Arabidopsis thaliana: one gene and its partner. The protein of the gene in region 2 interacts with the protein of the main gene of each other region in a pairwise test. Each region holds a gene or a part of one and is shown on either strand. Other genes may lie near its edges.

Evidence for each region.
Region 1: the proteins of BAP1 (region 2) and BON2 interact in binary tests that used the Arabidopsis thaliana proteins (3 or more experiments, as listed by UniProt).

Annotation. Positions count from the first base shown.
Region 1 is NC_003076.8:2,297,579-2,303,913, reverse strand, and holds BON2 (Calcium-dependent phospholipid-binding Copine family protein), read right to left. Parts: upstream 4,190-6,335; 5' UTR 3,919-4,189; coding exon 3,769-3,918; intron 3,693-3,768; coding exon 3,645-3,692; intron 3,531-3,644; coding exon 3,382-3,530; intron 3,298-3,381; coding exon 3,249-3,297; intron 3,168-3,248; coding exon 3,111-3,167; intron 3,014-3,110; coding exon 2,825-3,013; intron 2,749-2,824; coding exon 2,614-2,748; intron 2,532-2,613; coding exon 2,470-2,531; intron 2,369-2,469; coding exon 2,266-2,368; intron 2,189-2,265; coding exon 2,074-2,188; intron 1,989-2,073; coding exon 1,912-1,988; intron 1,839-1,911; coding exon 1,701-1,838; intron 1,617-1,700; coding exon 1,452-1,616; intron 1,365-1,451; coding exon 1,251-1,364; intron 1,161-1,250; coding exon 1,064-1,160; intron 987-1,063; coding exon 874-986; 3' UTR 646-873; downstream 1-645. Other genes in the region: ML4 (MEI2-like 4), read right to left, coding at 5,423-5,557, 5,761-5,940, 6,047-6,115, 6,222-6,306. UniProt on the Arabidopsis thaliana protein: Negative regulator of cell death and defense responses. May repress a number of R genes and may have effects in promoting growth and development. May function in membrane trafficking and in fusion of vesicles with plasma membrane.
Region 2 is NC_003074.8:22,649,637-22,653,464, forward strand, and holds BAP1 (BON association protein 1), read right to left. Parts: upstream 1,963-3,828; 5' UTR 1,780-1,962; coding exon 1,201-1,779; 3' UTR 967-1,200; exon of another isoform or gene 818-966; intron 740-817; 3' UTR 523-739; downstream 1-522. UniProt on the Arabidopsis thaliana protein: Negative regulator of cell death and defense responses. Exhibits calcium-dependent phospholipid binding properties.

The DNA of each region.
Region 1 (6,335 bases), on a different chromosome or scaffold from region 2:
CTATTAAATTAGCCAACTTTTCTACGTCTAAATTATACAAAAATGACATTATATAGCTAAGATTACGAGAAAAGAAAGTGACTTTTTTAATAAGAAAGTCAATCTGATAGAAAAAAGGTTGAGAGTATCTTACAACGACATGTCAATGAATTTGAATTTAAATGAAAAAATTAAACTTTAAAACAGGATATACACATGGCATGTGTAGGTATTTTCAGATTTGTTGACGAGAACGAAGAAACAACATTTTGTGAATTTGCCAAGCAGGGAAAATGAGTTTAACGACGTCACATAATGTAAATTTTTTTTTTAAAAAAAAAATCTTTTTTGCATAAAACGGCTTGACAACTTTTTTAAAAAATTTACTTTCAATTTTATGATAATTATAACACAATACGTATATATAAACAAAATTTCAGATTTAGTATTATGAGATTAAAAATAGATACTATATAATAGAATATTTATATTTTAAGGTCTCGTTTTGTTGCTGTAATAGACAGTATCTGTTTCAGCGACAAGTACGGTAAAGAATAATCAACGGTCACGTTTAATAAAAGTTAGACTTAGAAAGTCCACCTAAATCCCAACCAAATTAAGAAAGTCAACAACTATATATGTTGACCGTTGAAACAGTACATATCTATGTGAATACGCCCAAACCAACTAATAATTTGGCATATATAATAAATTATGTTTTTGACAACAAATATAATAATGAAGAGTGATGAGATATAATTTGACGTGGAATACTGGAAAACGGAAAAATTCCAGACAATATAAAATCGAAAAAAACAAAAATAAAAGCCAAGATAAGACGACAGCGTTTATAGCTGTGACTGACTGATGTATGTACAGTGTTGAGAGTGTGGATCAAGTAGAAGATGGAGTAGTGGTGGTGGGAGTAATATTACGGTTTCTCATATACGTCAAAAATTGTGTTGGCAATTCTGCTAGAAGTGCTTCTACCACTGAGACCTCTCCATCTGCAACAACAACAACAACAACCACAATGATCAGAGACCAAAACTCTGCCTGACAAATCAAGAAACACGAGACTCACATTGTATGTCTCGTAATGCAACAAACTGGACGATATCGCGCGATGCTATTCGACCACTGGAGCTCTCTAATTTCTCTCCTTTATCTCCATCTAGTACCTATACAAACAACCAATACATAAACCTTGTAAGAATCTATTTCAAGAAGTTTTTCAAATGAAGTTAAGCATAACGTTTTTGTTTAAGAACCTCCATTTCTTTATAGTCAGCTCCTCCGACTCCAACGATGAGGATTGATAATGGGAGATCCGATGCACTGACAATTGAGTCTCTCGTTTCTTGAAGATCTGTTATTACTCCATCCTACAAAAAAACCGACATGGTATTTTCATATAGATAAAAACACAAGAATCAGAGGAAAATCACACGTCTTGTTGTGTATAAACTCACTGTGATTATTAACAAGACGTAATATTTCTTTGCACTTTGAGCGAGTGAATCGCTTGCGATTGTTGCAGCAGCGTTGATTACAGGACCAAATAGAGTAGGTCCTGCAAAAGAGACATTGAAGAGAGCGCCATTGTAGGCATTCATGATTCCTTGAATTCCGTCTACCTGAGAAACAATCAAATAACAAAGATTAATTGAGAAATTTTGATACAAAAGTTAGTTCAATGTGAGTAGGATTTGTTGCAAGACCTCGCAATAAGTACTGCTTCCGTTGAGGTTAAAGCAATGTGAGACCGGGATGTCGATTGGACGAGCTCCAAAACCCCATGCGGGAAAGCGTTTGTCCGAGTCATAGAACTGCAACACTTCTCCAACTTCAACTATTGCCTGAATAGAAAGAAGAAAGATCACACACAGTCACCAGCTTCTGCAAATTAACTTGAATAGATCGAGTTCTTACTCTCTGGTAGGCATTTAATCGTCCTGTAGGATCAATGTAATGCAAGGAATCTGGCAGGCGAGGATTTCCATTTGAAGCTGATGGAAGAAGGGACAAATTGGATTAGTTTAAAGAGAGAGAGAGAGAGTCTAGAAAAACTCTGCACTTTTCAGATCTTTTTACCTGTGAAATCAATTGCAACCATGAAGTTCAATTCAAATCCAGAAGCCAAGTATTCTAGGAATGTATGCTGGACGGTTTCAGTAAACTTGTCAACGAAAAGCTGGCTCTTTAATACCTGAAATAATGCTAAATGTTATCAGAATTCTCGCATTTTAAATTGTGTAAAAACCTCTTGTTGTTGAAGGTCTATACCCTATCTTCATGTTTATGTCCAACACCAGTAGGTAAGGCTAAATTGATTCCTTGGCCAGCCAAATGAAGCTTTTCTAAGTCTGACAGTGATTTCTGAACTTTTCTGGCAAAACCAATAAGATACAAGAATCATCTCAGCTTCAGCAAATCATTTTCATATCTCAACCAAAAAAGAATGCAAGGAACTGAGATTTTGTGACTAACCCTATCAGATCGTGATTGCCATTGCCATTGAAGTCTAAGCACTCTATTACCAGTGGGCTGTCCTGCAAGATTACAAAAGAGAAACTAATACATCTTCCTGGTCAGACAAAACTCAGATATAATAAACCCCTTTGGTTGGTTTACCTTACTCCCCACTTGTTGAACACTTAGAGAGACTGGTTTCCAAAGTGGATTGGGATCATTCTTTAAAACTTCTGTTTTAGAGACCGGGATTGGAGTCCCGTGCTCTACAATCTTAGATATCACCAAAAACGGGTCCTGAGCATGAACAACAACAGTGTTATATTCATGTCTGAAGTATACTGAGATAAACTGGTCAAAGAGTATAGCTTACACTTTTAGAGAAAGTATCCTTTGATTCCAAATTCAACCCCCTAAATACAATCTCTGTATTGGTCTTAGAAGCTAAAGACTCCTCAGCATGAACAATAAGCTTTCCATTATGTTGTGGCTGAGTCTGTGCAGCAACACCTTCTTTACGCATAAGTTCTAAAGCAATCGTCCTATTTGATTTGGTAACCACCTGCACAGTCAACACAACATCTAAATCAAACTAATCTATAGCAAGTTTATCTTCTCTTCCTTACACTAAAAATGATGTAATAGAGAGGTTGGCATACCTCGGACAATGTACATGTTGCCTCACCGAGAAATTGCTGTTCGTCGAGCTTAAGCAACTGAAAACATTAAAAAAAAAGTGTAACTTATATTAAGACTACCTAGTGACAAACGAAAAGATGAAAAATTTTGGCAGATACCTCCTCCTTAGAATTTTGAAACTGAGTGTCAATATCATAGACACGAAACCTGTGCAGCAAAAGGTGTTAAAGTTGATTCCTTTTCCTCAAGTTTTTCACACATATAACCGAGGTTTCAAGGAACTTCACTTACAGCAATGTTTGCACAATCTCGAACTGATAACCAATAGTAAAATTCTTAATCCATTTAGGATTCAAAGAATTCAAAACAACTTCACTACGAAACAATTCAGCAAGTGTTCCATCTCTTCCTTTTGTATAAACAACCACCATTGCATCACTCTGAGATATAACAACCAAAGTAATGATATAAGCTTATATACACTATCCTTGAATCAAACCTATAACACTTAATTGGCTCCAGGAATATCAGTTTTCTGGAAGAAAAAAACGAACCTTTGAAATCACGTCCCGGTCTCGCAAATTGGAAGCAGAGAAAGATAACTGCGAACAAAGAAAAAAAAGATGAGTGAAACTAAAAATTTCAAGTCTTGAAGAAGGGAAAAGGGAAGAAACAGACCTCGATCTGAGAAAAGAGGCCATTGTAGCCACGAGACTTGAGATAGTAGTCAACGGCGTCGTTAGGAGTGGCGGCGGAGGAATTAGCCCCACCACCAACACCGACCATTCCTCCACCAGCGTAAGAGCCATCAGACCAACAGCTTCCCATTAGACGGCGAGAGTCTCTTCAGAACAAAAAAAGAGGAGGAGGAGATTGGGGGGAGACGAACAAGGAAAGAAGAGGAAAAATCAGGACAGTGAATTAGATGGGACCCACCTTTGTTTTTCCAAGTCGACGATCTGTCTTGACTCCATTTAATTTCCTTTTATTGTTGTTTTGAAATTATTGACAACATAAAGAATTAAGTATTCCCCAAATTAATTAGTGTAGGTTTATGTTTGATTAGTGGAAAACTAGATGGTCCATATGTATTAAATTGGCTGTAAGATCACGTGAATATATTTACTACAACCGGTCTACTTGTATATATTTTGGTCCACATCGGAAAATTGTCTTAGTATCAGATTTTTGAATTAAGCCGACGTTTAAGAGATAATTTTGTTTATAGTTCTATGGGAATAAAAGTATTTTTAAAAAAAATATATTTTATAATGCGGTGTGACTGTAATTGAAATAGGAACAAAGAAAGAGAGAACGCATCTTTTAGAGGGAGACGTGAATAATAAGACACACCAATTTTACGTAATGACCAATTAAAAAAGATTTCGCCACCAGAAAGGCTAACAAAACTTTTTCAAAAGCATAATTACTACTGGACTACATATATAGTAACTTTTTGTTTCTATAAATATAACAAGAATAACTATATAGTATTATAGAATATAGTTCATGAGATCGGTTCCTTATCCAAGAGAATCATCAAGTATGTGTTGCAGACCAAACCCAGTTGCTTCTTTCTTTCCAAAGCCTTATAATGGATGGATACAAGAGCTGGACTGGAGAAGGAGCCAAGGAGGTCCTCCACTGCCATAAATGGGCCACTTACTCTCAGGGGCCAAAAATGTATCCAACCAAGAATTCTGATAGTCGAAAATTTAGAGACCAAGTGTCTTAGTAGTATTATTTATTCCAAGAGGAAGCCTTAAACAACTGACTGTGTCAGAAGCTTATAAAGTGACCGACTAAAGATTCAAAGAAACACTAAAAACCAAAAGAGAAGAAAGCAATGCCAAAAACTTCGCCCTCAAAAGGGTTTACATAAATGATATTATATGGTCCCAAGCCACGGGCGAAGAAACTGAACACATCGTACTAGGTTGTTACATTTGTATGCAAAGTACAAAGAAAAAGATCCTTGTAGACACAACCCAACAATTTTTTAAGTAAAACAGAAAAATAAAAACTTAGAAAGCAAAAAGAAAAAAAAATCAAGCAAGGTTTTCTCTGGGAGGTTTAGTGATACAACAAAACTTGTGAAGTAACCTGAAGGAGTTTAAAGGGACCAAGACTTCAAAAACTTTCTCCTCTGCAAAATGAGTTTTCTCAGGTAATTTACCACACCCCCAAGGATTTACAGAGCTGTGGGGTTGTCAACGATATATATATATTTTACCTTGTGTTAATCTTTTGGGTCTCTTTTCTTTTACCTCTGATACAAGACGCCTAAAAGGGTTAGTCTGGCTTACGACATGAAAACTGTCTGGCTTATCGGTTACATGGAGTCGTTCCCATTTGCAGGTTCGTCTCGGTTATCAGAGCTACTGCTAAAGTTGGTGTAGTTCTCGATGCTATTTGTTCGATGCTTGCCTGGTCTTGACCGGATGTTTGAACCCATTGGAAATGGTTCCTGCACATTTACAAATGCAGTAATCTCTCATCAAAAACAGCTAATTGAAAGGGAAATAGGTTCTCTCATTAGGACCAACTATGAACCTAATTTATGTGTGTCACGCTATAGTGAATACATAACTACCAGATGATATGATTACTTGCAACAGAAAGAGGTTATAGTTTGAATAAGGATATCAATTGAGCCCTTGTCTTCCTTACCTGATCACCAGCATTTGGACCAGCAGTGTGGAAGAGAATAGGCCTGCAACGTTTGTCTTCGTTCATCAAACTTGAGTTCTGGAAATGGGCAATAAGAGCTGATTTCCCCTGAATCCGACCATATGCAAGCGATGCCACCTTCTCGCTGTTGAACTTTTCCCATTTCTTACCGTTGAATGCCTGTTAAGGTTTTAAACTTGTAACCAAACGCTTTTTTCCTTTTTTTCTAAAGAACAATGATACATCATCTACACAAATTGATCATAAAAAGGTACAAAGCTTATACCTTATAAAACGGAACAATATTTTCAGGTTCGATAAGGTTGATGAAAGCATATCCGACATTGCATTTATTCTGCAAATAGAAGGAAGGTTCATTTATATCGATGTAGAAAATACCCTAAGCTATAAGGCTGCATTAGACTCCATTAGATGAAAAAACAGGTAAGAGGCCTGCATACCTTGAAGTCAATTGGCAAATAAAGAAAATCATATGTTCCTTTACAGTACTCATCAATAGCAGCTAGGAGCATCTTAGAAGTATACCTAAACCATTACCAGAACAAAGACAAATA
Region 2 (3,828 bases):
AGTAGCATATAATATATGAATTAGTCCGTTAGGATAATCATAATTTTTGATTATTAAACTATGTATCTAAGAAAACTAAAAATATTGGGTGTATACAGTTGTCCTCCTGACATGAGTATATGATTGTAAGTAGGGATAATTAATCCGAATACTGGTTTGGTTTGGTTCAAAAATTTTGGTTTTTAGTGGGGCGATAAAGAGGAAGAGTCATATAAAGATTATCTAAAATAATAATGGGTTTTGTGTTGTAGTCGTAAGCCGTAACTCGTAAGTAACGAACGAGAGAGAAACGTGTGGATTTAGTAAAAGGCTTGAAGCCAGTGGCCGCTATTTTAAAAGTCGGCCGAAATCAGAGACTAAGCCCAATTGCGCCAACAAACTTTTACCAAAATGGTTGAAATTTCTATAATCTTGTGAAGTTGTTAATTAGTAAATCAATTCAAACAAAAAATCATAAACAAGAACAGACGGTCGTAGTGAAGCCAAAATAAGTCCATAACAAAGTGCCCACGTGAGGTACATCTAACACTGCACATTTTATATCCGTGGAAGTCTTATCTCTTCTCTAACCAGCAGAGAAACTACTTTTATCTAGTCTTAAAGTTGTGCGGTATAAAATTGTCACAGCATAAACATATTACAATTTCATTTCGATTTTTTTGTAAACATGCCCATAATCTATCATAGTGAAACAAATATAAATATTTCAATTTGTCTCTGTTTTTTTTTTTTTTTTTTACTTGAGGAAAATCCTTCTTCTTTTGAAGGATTAAATATCATAGATTATATGACGTAACTTTGACAAAAAAAAAAAAAGATTATATGACGTAACATTCTCAAAACAATTTAAATTGATTATAAACATACCACTAGATATTTGTTTAATCATATCCGCAACAAATCACCACGCAAGTAACGTTACAATAACTCACAATCATTAAATACAAACCAGAACAATTGCAAGACTTTTTTTTTTTTGTTTTCTTCTTCCAACAAACACACCATGCACGAACTATAACAACAAGTTCTTAGATATCATCGTCGAACAAATTTGACTTTTCTATTTTCAATTTTGGTTTCGTGAGTATTATAACAAAAATTAATCACACATCTTTGTTCCTCAATTCCAAATTGGGAAAATCTATGGAACAAAGACGAAGAATTAATAATATGTGCATCCCCCCCCAAAAAAAAAAGATTTTAAAATTGGCGTTGATACAGACCCCAAACCGGAACTCCGGTAACAGTCCGGCCACCGTATCCATCAATCGATGCCGTCTCTAATCTCGGCCTCCACAAACCAGTAACCGCCGCTTGGGACGAACACGCGCCGTAATCTCTGGTGGGATCCGATTTAACCAAAATCGAAAGATTGACGATCCCACACTTATCACCAAACTCATCTCTCAATCTATAGCTCAAGAAGTTTAAGTGACCTTCAGGTGAATACCTTCCCATGAAATCATTCGTTGGGATTTTAGCTTCTCCGATTTTTTTATCATGCCCAGAACCTGTTCGATAAAATACCTCAATGAAGATAAACTGTTCATTACCATTGATGGGCATCTCTGATTTATAGTTCCATGTAGGATTGCTTCTTCTCGATTCGTCAAGATTAGATTTTCGACATTTCTCGTCGATTTTTACGACGGCGAAAGTCTTTTTCTTGATGGGTCTCCGGTTTAGCTTAAGCCCTTCTGCTGATCTCAAATCAATCTCCAATGTTTTTGTCATCATTGTTGTATAATGATTGTCGATTGATCTACCAAAATATATCATTTGGGTTTAATGTTTATTTGTTGGTCTAATCATTAAGTAGAATGAAAGAACAAGTTTATATATAGACAACATCACTTAGGAAGGTGACAAGGAAGTTTGGAAAGAAGTCGCTCGGAGATTTCTTCTCTTTTTCCCGCCAGCTCATTATCAAGATATAAAGAAGTCGACCAAACAAAAAAGGGCAAAGACAACAAAAAAAAAAGACAAGGAAATTACGTTTAAATTTTAGATTAGTATTTTGTTCATTTGAATTCGGTTTTATATCAAAAAATAAAATAAAATTGTTTGAATATATTTTATGAAAACAATAAAACTGTTTTCAAATGAATCATTATTTTTTGTTTTTTGATAAATAATACTTAACTCTTTGCTGTGTTAGTTCATATATAATTTTGTGCTTCAGCTTAAATATTACTCCTTCATTTTCTTCTATTTAGATGAATGTGTAAATTATGAAAAGGACTATAAATTATAAGTGGTCATAAATTCTCAAATATATTTACATTTTTAAAAACATTTTTTAATATAAAATAAACTAAATTCTGAGTATTTTATTACTAGTATAATAATAATAAAAAAAAAAATTTAGTTTTGTGATTATATGACATTTCGAATCTCGCGAATCACGATGTTAGTTTATTTACGTAACATCAATCTCAAGATTTCTAATTAATATAAACACAATTTGTTTTTTGAATAATGTTGTCTAGTTAAAAGTGTAATACGACAAAAAGGAATTAAAACAATGTGGCATAACCGCATAAGCGAGTTGAATCCAGCAGCGTGATAAACGCGGCGAGACGCGAGAACGTTCGTTGTTATAAAAAAATGCGCGTACCAGCAGCTACGATGAAACACGAGTATAATTGTATAAAGGAAAGTACTCGTTTATTTCTTCCTTAAGATCTACTTAATTATTCGTTTTTGAAATTGACTCTTTTTTATCTCAACTCCAGCTCAAGATTTCCTAAAATCCATGTAGTTTTGTCGTATAAAATAAAATGTGGTAATCATGTTCTAAATAATTTACTAAAATTATGAAGTGTCCATACTCGTATCGTATTATGGTGTAAGTTTTTTTTTTTTGTTAAGTATGCTCTATATGGCCTTGATATTTAGTTGTCGACAGAGTCTTAATTATATTTTTAGATATTAATTAGAACTTACATACTCAGGATAATAACATCAAAATACTTTTTCTTGATGTTAAAAAACTTAACTTGTGAGAAAATTATGTGGAAAATTCCTTCGCAAAACGTTTATTTGAACGGAAACTATAGTTATAACTTTTCACCAAATATTGATCAAGAATTATTCAACTCATTTGAATATATTTTCGTACGACCTCTTAGTGTAAATGGAGTTAACTTTTGTTTAAGAAGGTTGGAATTTACTTAGACATTCAAATACGTAGACTTTATCAAACAATCAAAAATACTAATTATCTAATACGTATAGATTACTTTCGTCTTTTTCTTTTTTTACGAGTGGAACGAAAACTCATGGAAAATATTGGGGGAGTCGTTGACTCCATGTCCTACTTGTACGGTTGTACACTTGTACCATTCCTTAATTCTTGGACAGGTTGTGCAAAAAAATAAACTTCAATTTAAAGTGAAGATAGTAAAACAAATAGTAAAGAAATTTATGGTTTCTTATGATGATTATGTGATCATGTTTGCACGTAAGGTACAATTACAATTAAGTCTTCACCACGTAATATATATGCCTTAAAAAATATAATATCTATTTTTGAAAATATGTACCGCATATATATCATCAAAACATCATTTGCAGAAAGAAAAAAAAAACATAACTTTCGAATTTCTCATGTATTGGAAACATCTGTTTGGGTTAACCTGCAGTTACGAATTTCGTTGGAACCTTTTTTCTCTTGTTGATTTCCATGAAACGTTGTATTTTGTTTTCTACTCGCATTGTATATCTTTTTTCAAGTATTAAAAAAAAAATTTGGATGTAGAGCAAAATACATTAACTCGACAGCTTCAATTTTCTAATCTTTGCGTCAAGTTTTCAAAAAGTCTTCTC